Linked DNA regions of Schizosaccharomyces pombe. The protein of the gene in region 3 purifies or fractionates together with the protein of the main gene of each other region. This does not show direct contact. Each region holds a gene or a part of one and is shown on either strand. Other genes may lie near its edges.

Region 1 (3,757 bases), on a different chromosome or scaffold from region 3:
GCGAAGATGAGCAGCGCAAGCAACTTCAAAAGCACCGGCTCCAACTATCAAGCAGTTGTCTTCTACAGCATTTTTTACCGCACGAAGACCATCCCGAGTTGCATCTTGAATTTGTTGTATTGTATATGTATTGGGTCCATGAATTAAAATAGTCGCACTTTTAGGATCTTTAACGTCCTCAACAAAAGTGTATTTTTCCTCACCTAATGTTCTCTCATAAACCGATCCAGCCCATCCTAAAACCTCAGGATTGAGATCGTCCACACTGTTTTGGGCTACCCCGCCGCATGCTAACTGAAGTCGTTCCATATTACGACGTTTAGCTCGTCTCAGAGCCATAATACCATTCTTAGCTAATACATCAAGAGAAAGGGGGTCAATACCTTTTTGATTGATAATAACAAAATTCGCAGTGGGATCTCTTTCACAAACTTCCTTCTTAAGTTCAACGATTTTGCGCAATTTATTGTCAACAAATTTCCTTTCACTTTCGACTAATCGTTCACGTTGTTCCGAAGTACTATAAAAAAATCCCGAGTTTATCTCACTCTTTTCGTATTCCAAAGAAACATTTAAAATTAATATATAAGCGTTTTTCACTTGCTTGGGCATATCGGGGTGACGAGCTCCATGATCGAGAAGTAAACCGCGAATCAATTGAGTATCTGAAGCAGAGCGATTTTGCATCTTCATAATCTCGACCATATGAAGATCAATAGGTTCATCAGGACGACGAATTGTCAATATAGCATCAACAACAGCAGGTGCAAGTGACTCAACAACTTTTGAGGAAATCTTCGTACTTAAGGAGGTTTTCGCAACGTTTAACAAAACCTCACGGTCGACCTCAAAATCAGTCTTAAAACTATCCAAAAATGTAAGGGCTTCATTCTTTGCTAAATTAAATCCATCGCTAATTAAAGAGGGGTGAAGCCCTTCACGAATATAAAGTTCAGCTTGCTTAAGTAATTCACCAACCAAAAGACATACGGAAGTCGTACCATCTCCTGTGGCATCGTCTTGAGCAGTTGCAGCCTTGGCTATACAAGAGGCAGTTGGATTTTGTATTTGCTACCAATAAAGTTAGTACACAACTCAATACTCATTATTAAAAGCAACATGAGACCTAAAGTAGTCAAAAAAATTCCAAAATTATCAAAAAAGGAAAGAAAGAAAAAAGCATTTGCAGTTAATGTGTTCTTAATCACTTACCATTTCCGTAAGCAGGACTTTACCGTCCTTCGTAAGCTTAATAGCACCAGCGCCATCAACCAACCTAAAATTATGAGTTGCTAAACTATAAAAGTAACTTACATTTTCGTTGTTCCAGTTGGCCCCAAATTGCTTTTCAAGACATCTTGCAAACCGATTGCTGCTGAGATATTAACCTGCCAACGTTAGCGATACTGCTTAAACAAATATTATAGACCAACCTGAAGAGCCTGCGCTCTCTGAATTGATTCCGCTTTGGGATTCAATAAGGACAACATTGAGCTTAAAGTAAATCACCAAATGAACTGTAGTTGGTTAGTTCAGCTACTTATTAGTCGAATATTTACTGAAGTCTTTAAAAATATCGTAAATTTGCGTACTGCGTTAATAATTATCAAATGTAAGCTACGCAGTTTGGTATCTATTTTAACGATACTTAGACTACGGCGAGTTTTCCTTGTGACCTATTGTATTGCAATACGCAGGTAATATAAGTAGCAACTGAGTATAGGTATTATACCATCTAGGTTATATTATTACTTATCACTATTATCGCTTATAAATGAACTGAGGAATGAGGTTCAACGGAATATTTATTTGCAGTATCAATACAATATAAAATATTAATAGGTTATCATTAAGTTCAATCTCGGTATCGTCAAAGATGGCATGATGAATAAATACGACATGTGACATATAGTGATACACAACGTAGTGTAAAATAGCGTTGTTTAGTATTGCTGAATCAAATCGCTTCAAAATTAATTTAATGTAGGTTACTATACCCTATCATAAACTACGTTAAAAAAAATACATCAAACTTTTGAATAGTTCGCACAAATTTTCACCCACAGCACTAACGCCGAGTCAGAATTGCGGCGTGAAGTACTACAAGTGAAGAATGGCTGATTACTTGTTGTATGAGTCTGCGACAGGGTATTCCCTTTTTGATGTCGTTGGAGCTGATCAAATAGCAGCGAAGACAAAGGAAGTGCAGTTGTCTCTTCAGGATATTTCAAAATTTGGTAAAGTGGTGCAGCTTAGAAGTTTTATTCCTTTTAAAAATGCTGCCCATGCTTTGGAAAATGCCAACGACATTTCTGAAGGCGTTTTGAATGATTTTTTGAAAAACTTTTTGGAACTCAATTTGCCGAAAGCCTCAAAGAAGAAAAAGGTGTCTCTGGGAGTCCAAGACAAAAATTTAGCAACGTCTATTAAATCCGAAATTGATGCCATTGAATGTGACACTTCTGAGCTTACCCAGGATCTTCTCCGTGGTATTCGTTTTCATGGTGATAAACTTCTCAAGCAACTATCACCCGGTGATTTCGAAAGGGCTCAGCTTGGTTTAGGACATTCATACTCTCGCGCAAAAGTGAAGTTCAATGTTAACAGAAATGACAACATGATTATCCAAGCTATTGCTATCCTTGATCAACTTGACAAGGACATTAATACTTTCGCTATGCGCATGAAAGAGTGGTATTCTTGGCATTTCCCTGAGCTTTCGAAGATCGTTGGAGACAATTACAAATACGCTGTTATTGTTACACTGGTTGGTGATAAAACCACCATTAACGACGAAATGCTTCATGATCTGGCAGCCGTTGTAGACGATGACAAAGATATTGCTCAAAGTATAATCAACGCTGGTAAAGTGTCTATGGGACAAGATATCTCTGAAATTGACCTCGAGAATATTCTATCTTTTGCTGAACGTGTTATTAAACTTAGTAATTATCGTAAACAGCTACATAACTATTTGGTTCAGAAGATGAATGTTGTTGCTCCCAATCTTGCTGAATTAATTGGTGAGATGGTTGGTGCTCGTTTGATTTCTCATGCCGGAAGTCTAACTAACTTGTCAAAATGCCCGGCTTCTACGGTACAGATTCTAGGTGCTGAAAAGGCTTTGTTCCGTGCTCTGAAAACCCGTGGAAACACGCCTAAATACGGTATTATTTACCATTCTAGTTTTATTGGAAAAGCTGGCGCTAAAAACAAAGGCCGCATCTCTCGTTTCTTGGCTAACAAATGTTCTATTGCTAGCCGTATTGATAACTTTAGCGATGCCCCAACTACGGCATTTGGTCAAGTTCTTCGTCGACAAGTCGAGGAACGTCTCAACTTTTTCGATACCGGTGTCGCCCCTACTCGCAATAGTATTGCAATGGCAGAAGCTTATGAAAAGGCATTATCGAGTGTTAACATAGACGGAGACGAGGAGGTTGACATTGACGTTGAAGAGACTGTTGAAACCATTTCAGAAAAGCCGAGCAAGAAAGAAAAGAAAGACAAGAAGGAGAAGAAAAAGGAGAAGTCTAAGAAAAAGCGTTCTGCCGATGATGCATCAGAAGAAGTCAAGAAAAGTAAGAAGAAAAAGAAGAGCCATTGAGACGTTATTTTTATTAGGATATAACGGGGACCATATTGCTCTTGCATATTTAGAACAACTTGTAATTGAAAAATTTGCTATAGATTATGGGCGTAAATACTGTAATATTACTAAATCGATTGATATCGAGCTTATCATTTTGATGGATGG
Region 2 (3,727 bases), on a different chromosome or scaffold from region 3:
GTTTAAACGAGATGGGGTCAATGGTTCCATTGACCTATCCATCTTGTTATTTTTTCTAAACGGAAACCAATATAAAGATTCCTAGTAGCAGAGAATCAGAAGGAAAAGTAATAATCAGAGACAGTTTTTTTGCGACTCGTCGATTGTTGCGTACTTGTGGCACGTATATAAGCGGTGTCCAACGCAACGCGACGCGACGCCCTTTAAAGCGCGAATTCGCGATATAGCGCGTTTTATCAGTTTGCTCATATCCTCGAGTTTATTAATTATATTAACTTTCAAATTTTTTAAATAGCTATCAAAAATGATGCTATAAAAAGTAAACCGCAATTTGCATTATGAAGAGTGATTTACCTGTTATGTTACCGATACACAAACTCGTTCATAACTTTCCTATAGTCATTTTACAAGGTTAAGAAGGCTTTATTCAACGTCCGTTTCAATATCCCTGCAAACGACATTTGAAAATGACAAAATCAATTGGAATAATAAATGGAGTATTTGTGAATTGCACAGGCAGACCTACCGTACACTGAAATATGCTTTTGTTATGTACACAATTACTAAGGCTGATATTTACAGATTAAAAATAAGATACGTTATATCAAGATAACAGTCGGTAGACGATTTAAACGCGCATCTTCTTAATATTAGTTGTGAATAGATACGAGAATGAAATTTTTTTTACACACTAGTATTCGACCATTTTGAAAAATATTTAGTCAATTCATCGCAAAATGTGGATCAAAAAAGGGAATGCAACCACAGAATACACCTTAGACCGCTTTAATGATAAGAATCACTGAATAACCTAGAAACCCGAATGATGCTCAATGGAAAATAAACAAAAAGGGATCTGTAAGATAACACACACCTTTCCACATACGCTTGACAACGAAATTTCATCCAAGACCAATCAAACGCTCCACATCAATAGGCTACTCTCAAGTCACCAGTTCATCTATGCAAGAGCGGGAAAGTCAGTCTCAGAAAGGGTGGGAGGTGCCTGTTGGGTTTTTGAGGCAGTTTCTGAAGGACCACGACGGGGAGCACGGTTAGGACGGCCACCGCGAGCAGGACGAGCAGTAAAAGTTTGCTCGATATCAAGAAGAACCTTCTTTGGCTTGCTTTCCTTGGCAGCAGACTTCTTTTGAGAAGCGCTCTTCTTAAGAGAGGCAAACAATTCTTCGGGGGCACTCTTCTCGACCTTAGTAGCGTTTTCAAGTTTCTCAACAGTACGACCAACAGGCTTTGCGGCGGACTTGCGTTCAGACAGATATTCATCAAGAGTCTTAACATTTTCCTCCTCGGCAGCAGGAGTTTGGGCTCCAGAGGGAGTGTTACCTTCGTTCTCTGCAACATCAGGGTTAGCAGCAGAGTTTACGAGATCACCCCAGCCACGTTCAGTAGCCTTCTTGGTATCACTAAAATAATGGTTAGCAATTATATAATTTGGCATTCACATGTAGAAAAATAAAACACATACACTCTACCAGTTTGGCTATGGCGGTCAAATTCACGACCACGGCGAGCACGAGCATTGCGGCGGTTGGAGGGGGCGCCAGTGGCATCCACAGGATGGGCAGCGTTGTTAGCACGAGCTTCTTTGCCTTCACGAGCAAAGGCTTCGTTTCCTTGAGGAGCTTGACGGCGTCTGCGAGGTTGGTCTGCCTTCTTATTAACGGTACGCTCACGAGGAGTGGGTTGGTTAGGGTCACGCTTCCTAGAGGTGGTGCTTTGAGCGACTAATTCGCGGGGGACAGGAGGGCTGTCGGAGCGCTTTTTGTCACGAGAAGCAGCGGTTTTCTTCTCGGTAGTAGTAGCTGCGGGAGTCTCCTCTCCGAGGAGGTCAAAGAGGTTCTATAATTTGGTTACTACTTGCGAAAACAAAATAAAAATCAGCAGAGTCTGCAGAGCTAACACTCTAAAGAATAATGAACGAAATGTGAATTTATATTTTTTAATACTTGAGCGTCTTTATACAGGCTATACTTCTATAAAGTATTTCATTCGGGTCGCAGTAATGAAACCTTAAACACAGCCCTAAAACATGCTACAAATAATTACCAGTTCGTTCATTTCCTAACCCTTAAAATAATCGTTTAATGATAAAATGTTTAAATCATACCTTGGATGCAACAGACATTTGGAAGCTGGAAAGTTAATTGTGTGTGTTCAGTTACACAACTACAGTCATCCAAAAAGCAGTCACTCAAACTTAGGGTAGGTTGAAACAAATGATGTGCTTTGTCCATCATCTTACGGTAATACCTAAGGCTATCTTAAAATTACAGTTATTCAACACAATGCCTGTCTTTTTTCTATGATATCGGAAGCACTTGGCTTACAATTGTCAATATTCGTTTTATCGAATCATTCATTTCTTTAGCATTAAAATAAGTTTTATTAAGAAATATACTACTGGTAAAAAAAAGCTAGGCAGTCTAAGTAAGAATTAATTACATTATATTTTGAAACAAATAATAAATTAATTCATTCAATGTAAAAAGACTGGTACTAAAATCGTTATAAACTAAATCCAACCAAGTAATAACTTGAGACGATTAACATTAAGCATCAATATCGATTGGGTCATCAGAGGAACCTTTTCCCATTGTTCCATTTGTTTTGCGAGAGGCACGTAGAGATGTACCGGCACCTTCAAACTTAAATAAATTGGGGTCTTTCTTAGAATCTTCTTCAATAGAGGGTGCTTTATAAGGATACCCAAAGAAGTATGTACCCAATGGTAGGATCAACGGAGCAGGACATTCTTGTTTCTCAACATCGAGCAAATTTATTTTAGGCACTTCAGCAACTTCTTTACCATTTAGTTTAGTCCCTGTTCCCTTCATCAAATTCGAATCGCCCTGCCTCACCAGCTCATCGTAACCAATCTTGGTAACCATCGTTCCTTGAACGCCAGCAATATTTTGCTGCTTGTTTTTTTGCAAACTTTCTTCATAACCGATGGGGGGATCAAAATCAACTACCAAATCGGTTTCTACCACTGAGACAACATGGCGGGAGTCATCAGGTTGAACATCTATAACTTTTATTTGATATACCTGGTCGTTATACAAAATCTCAAATATATCAGATTTTGTAAGCGTACTGAAATTCCTAAGCGCATTTTCCAATACCGCTCTGTGGTCCGTGATATCAAGAAAATTCACGCTTTGAGGCTGTAATTTGACATAGCTGCCCTGTGCTATATCAGTATTTATAACTCGAACCAAATCTCCAGGCTCAAGGCTAAGTGTAGTCATCATCTGTGCCCTAGTTAGTACATTTCTGACAGTCTTTAAATTTTTTCATACCCAATAAGGCAGGTAGACACGTCCCTCTTCCGCAATAAATTCTAACACACCCCCATGAGTTTTTTTCTCTGCAGCTTCGTTTTCAAAGTCAAAAAGCATGGGATAACTGACATTCAGGCGTGCTAATAGTTAATTAACAGATTTAAAAGGCTTAATAAATTCTCTTCGCATTACGTACATAGTTTTTCTAAAGCTGAAGGTGGTAATATTACTAGACGTAGTTGTTAATACTAATAATCCCCAATAACAATATAAAAAATATTGAGCAGAGAATGTTAACCATAAGCAAATGCGCAAGCAAGCGCTCAAAGATAAAATCACATGAACTTCATGAGTATATAAAATCAAATCTCCAACAATGTGAAAACTTAAAAGTATTTTCAAACCTTACCTTTCCCACCATAATT
Region 3 (3,757 bases):
TAATATTTTCTTTTGTTAAGCAATTTCGTTTAAAAATAAACATATCCGACTTTGATGCTTCAAAAATTTAATGTAATAAAATAATATTCCTGTTTTTGAATCTGGGTTAAAATCATATCGGATACCTTATAAAATTCACTGATCATTTAAAAAAAAAAAAAAAAAAAAAAAAAACCCCCCGAAAACATACAATTTTGTTAATTTTCAAATGCATTCTTTTGAGGTCAAGCCATATTTACTTTTATCCCAAATATTAAATTTAAGTGTCATATGCAAAGTTGCAAATTCGCCGACCGTAGGGCTATCAAAACTGATGATGTTTAAAAATTGACTAATGGAACAAATTTATCTTGAGATGAAATGATGTTGTTCAAAATTAATATAATTTTTTTTTGCTGTTTCCTCTTGCTTTATACGCATTTTCCTGCACCTCTCTTTCAGAATACACATTATTCTTATTTGGTATTAAGATTCACCAATTGATAAAATAACACCTAATTGTATGCCACGGCTATCTTGCTATTATTGTAATTTCGCTTTATATTCGATTTTGACGAATGAACCCTGTCAAGTTGGAAAATGCAAAAGCAGTATTCTACCGTTACCTCTCAGTAGTAAAATGACCTTCCATCGATGAAATTCTCTAACATTCTCTTCGTATTTAAAAATGTATGGATCGTATATTCCTTGCTTATCCACGATTCATGAACAATTAAGATTTGCTGAATGGGTAACACATATTCTGCGTTACCTCGTATAGTTCATTGTTAATCAATGTTTAAACACTAAATTTCCCATCTCCCACTGTTAATTGAAAATAGGTTTTATTCAATAAATTACCATTTAAAAAGACATGTTATTTTAAGTTATATATTTTATGAACCTAAAGATTGAAGTAAAGGCCTTCGGAGCCTTTAGTTCCCCTACTATGTGCCTCTACTCGCTTCTTGGGGCTTAACTGTAATGTAGTATTGCCAATTACACAAAAAATTTATATTGTTCTTTAGCTTCTTATAATTCATTTAAATGAGAGGTAAAAAATTCGAGAAGACATTTCAGAAAACTACAGAAGTATCCATTTGTTTGAAATTAACTGTCCTAATGCAGATGAATCCTATGTAATAGAAATATTACAACCGTGGCTATAAAAGAAGTTGAGAGTTAGTTATACGTAAGAATATCTTTTAAAGATTTCAATCGACATCTCACATGATTCATCAGTATTAAACGTAAAAGTTTACATATTAGTTGTAGCACTATTCGTGATAAATGAAATAGTAAACCAAAAAACGAACGAGGAATAATCTTTTCATCACTAGAATATTAAAATTATTTTATATAATCAAAGTTAGAAAGATTCCTTTAGTTCCTTGAAATATTCTTTAATTATTATTGCAGCACTAAGGATTGCATCACTGATATGTCTCAGTAATGATTATCAGAACGTCTGGTAATAAAGCACGATCCTCTCTCTTTTTTTGTTCTGACTCTCGTCAGGATGAATTCCTTCTCAAAGTGCCGGGAGGAATTGCTTTGTATTTTTTGTACCGTACTTACATTTTATCGTATACTTTCACCTTAGCGCTTTTGGTGTCAAAACAATAGAGATGTAAATTTTAATAGAAATTAAAGCTTATTGGAATTTTTGTTTTCAAGTGTTTTAACATGTAGTGATTGTGTAAAGTATATGTTTACGTTCTAGTAATCGACTACCGTTGAAACTTGCAAACTACCAAACAGTATTGCAGACAGTGAATCAGTCGACGGAGCACTTGAATCAATTTGTTAATAATATAGAGATTAAATTCACAATTTATTGACACATGATTAACTGAATTCATTAAAATATTTGTTTTTTTGGTATATATTTCCTTTCAATACCCTCGCTATTTGTTTCTTAATAACTGAAGACAACATTGATCTACTTAATATATATGACTCAAAACTCACAGAGTAATGGTGAAATCGTGTCAAAAAAAACCGGATATTGATGAGTTCTTTTCATTTTTGCAGAGTGCATTCCATCCTCTACAGACCGAGGAACTTGATACATTCGTTCGCAACATTTTTGAATATGACGATCGAGGTCGTTTGTACAACTGCCTTTTAACTCTAGGTAAGAATGAATATTAGATATAATCAAGTTTATTTTTATCGCTTTTTCTAAAATTGTGAATTTTCAATTGATCGTCGTATGCTTGATAGCAATTTTGATGATCTTTTATCAAACATTTTGCACGCCTATAACTCTAAGGTTATATCAATTCAATTTTCTCAAAGAAACATATAAAATTTTACTCTATTCATGACTTGGCATGAGTGGTTGGATGAGACTGTGGCGTTGGTCGTTAATTATATTTTTTGTTGTTTCTGTTCGAAATTGAATGGTTGATTTCAACATTTAGCCCTTGGGTTTTTATTTCCCTAGGAAAAATGTTTGGGAGATTTAACCGTACAGTTTTCTGTAAAGCAAATGATTGTATAAAAAAATTATGATGACTGAAAATTCAAATCTACTACAATGTCACTTGAAAAATCGATTTCTTTTTTGATGTTTTATTTCTTTTTTATTAAAATTTCTAACCGTTAATGCAGTTCCTTATGAAAGACTTCCAATAGATGCAGAGGATCTTAGTAGTCGAAAAACCTATGCGCGTCCCGTACTAATCCGACAATACCGCAGTTTGCGGTTTGCCAACAAAGAAGAAAACATTTGTCGGCTAACTCCCAACTCAGCGTTCGTCCCTGTTCGAGACTCTGCAGTCGCTAGCATTTCAACCTCAAAAGTGCAGGACTTTAACTCCTATGCTACTCTCACTGAAGCACAGAAAAAAACGGCCACTCCCGTTGAGGAAAAAAACTTCTTAAATCAAATTGTCATACAATGTTTAGACTCTTTGGAAACCGACGTTGAAACAAATACCACGCATGCTACTTTACTAGCCGTTGACCCTACTTGGTTAATCCGTGTATCACAGCATACCTGTGATCGGAAAGCTGTGGCTAATCTCTGTATTCAGTATGGAAGTCAAATATTTTATGATCCATCATTTCGAAATGCTTATGAATTATGGTCCAATCCTTCAGTTCTTTTGGCTTTTTTGAAGGCCCAAAGAGTGTTGGTCGTTTCAGATATATTTACTTCGTCAACATTGAGATCAACACAAGGGACGCCAATGTCTTTTCCTAATTTAGCTTTGGAAAGCGCTGATAATGTCGAGAACGTATCAAAGCCTATTAACCCTCGAATGGAAAGGTTTTCATCAGAGGTTAAATCTTCGAGTATTCTGAAACAACAGATTGCAGCCGTTGTTGAGAAAATCAATTATGACATACGCCCTCAACGTGATCAAATCCCTGAAGAAAATATCGTACCTAGAATCTCTTACTTAACAAGTACCACTACTTCGACCAAATCATCACCGGTTCCCGAAAGCACTACAACAAACACAACTGAAGTGCTGAAAGAACTTAATGACATTCAAGAGAACAAAAGCAGAAAAAATGTTGAAAAAGCGACTGCGGCAACAGAAGAAATGCTACGTGGCCATCACAAACCGGTAGAAGGAACAACGGCTACTTCGGAAAAAGAAAGCATTAAAGAAGAAGTTGATTTAGAAGTTAACGGTGACGGGAAAGTTGAAGCGGAAGAGAGAATAGAATTGGAATCTTCCGATTCAGAGAAAGAGCTTTCAGAGCTGATTGATTTTCTTAAAAGAGAACACCCACCGGAAGATACTCCAGAAAAACGAGTAAA

Evidence for each region.
Region 1: the proteins of nts1 (region 3) and nop56 purify together in Schizosaccharomyces pombe (affinity purification with mass spectrometry, with the first as the bait; one study listed by BioGRID). This does not show direct contact.
Region 2: the proteins of nts1 (region 3) and oga1 purify together in Schizosaccharomyces pombe (affinity purification with mass spectrometry, with the first as the bait; one study listed by BioGRID). This does not show direct contact.

Annotation. Positions count from the first base shown.
Region 1 is NC_003423.3:940,675-944,431, reverse strand, and holds nop56 (U3 snoRNP protein Nop56), read left to right. Parts: upstream 1-2,058; 5' UTR 2,059-2,113; coding exon 2,114-3,607; 3' UTR 3,608-3,729; downstream 3,730-3,757. Other genes in the region: chaperonin-containing T-complex zeta subunit Cct6, read right to left, coding at 1-1,071, 1,213-1,276, 1,315-1,388, 1,434-1,490. UniProt on the Schizosaccharomyces pombe protein: Required for 60S ribosomal subunit synthesis.
Region 2 is NC_003423.3:4,282,357-4,286,083, reverse strand, and holds oga1 (protein stm1), read right to left. Parts: upstream 2,156-3,727; 5' UTR 2,147-2,155; coding exon 2,129-2,146; intron 1,861-2,128; coding exon 1,487-1,860; intron 1,425-1,486; coding exon 962-1,424; 3' UTR 628-961; downstream 1-627. Other genes in the region: protein nrm1, read right to left, coding at 1-42; Hrd1 ubiquitin ligase complex subunit Ufd1, read right to left, coding at 2,571-3,272, 3,321-3,442, 3,499-3,531, 3,712-3,727. UniProt on the Schizosaccharomyces pombe protein: Ribosome preservation factor that protect a small pool of nontranslating, vacant ribosomes in cells under nutrient starvation conditions.
Region 3 is NC_003421.2:933,123-936,879, reverse strand, and holds the start of nts1 (protein Nts1), read left to right. Parts: upstream 1-1,724; 5' UTR 1,725-1,956; coding exon 1,957-2,116; exon of another isoform or gene 2,117-2,185; intron 2,186-2,595; coding exon 2,596-3,757.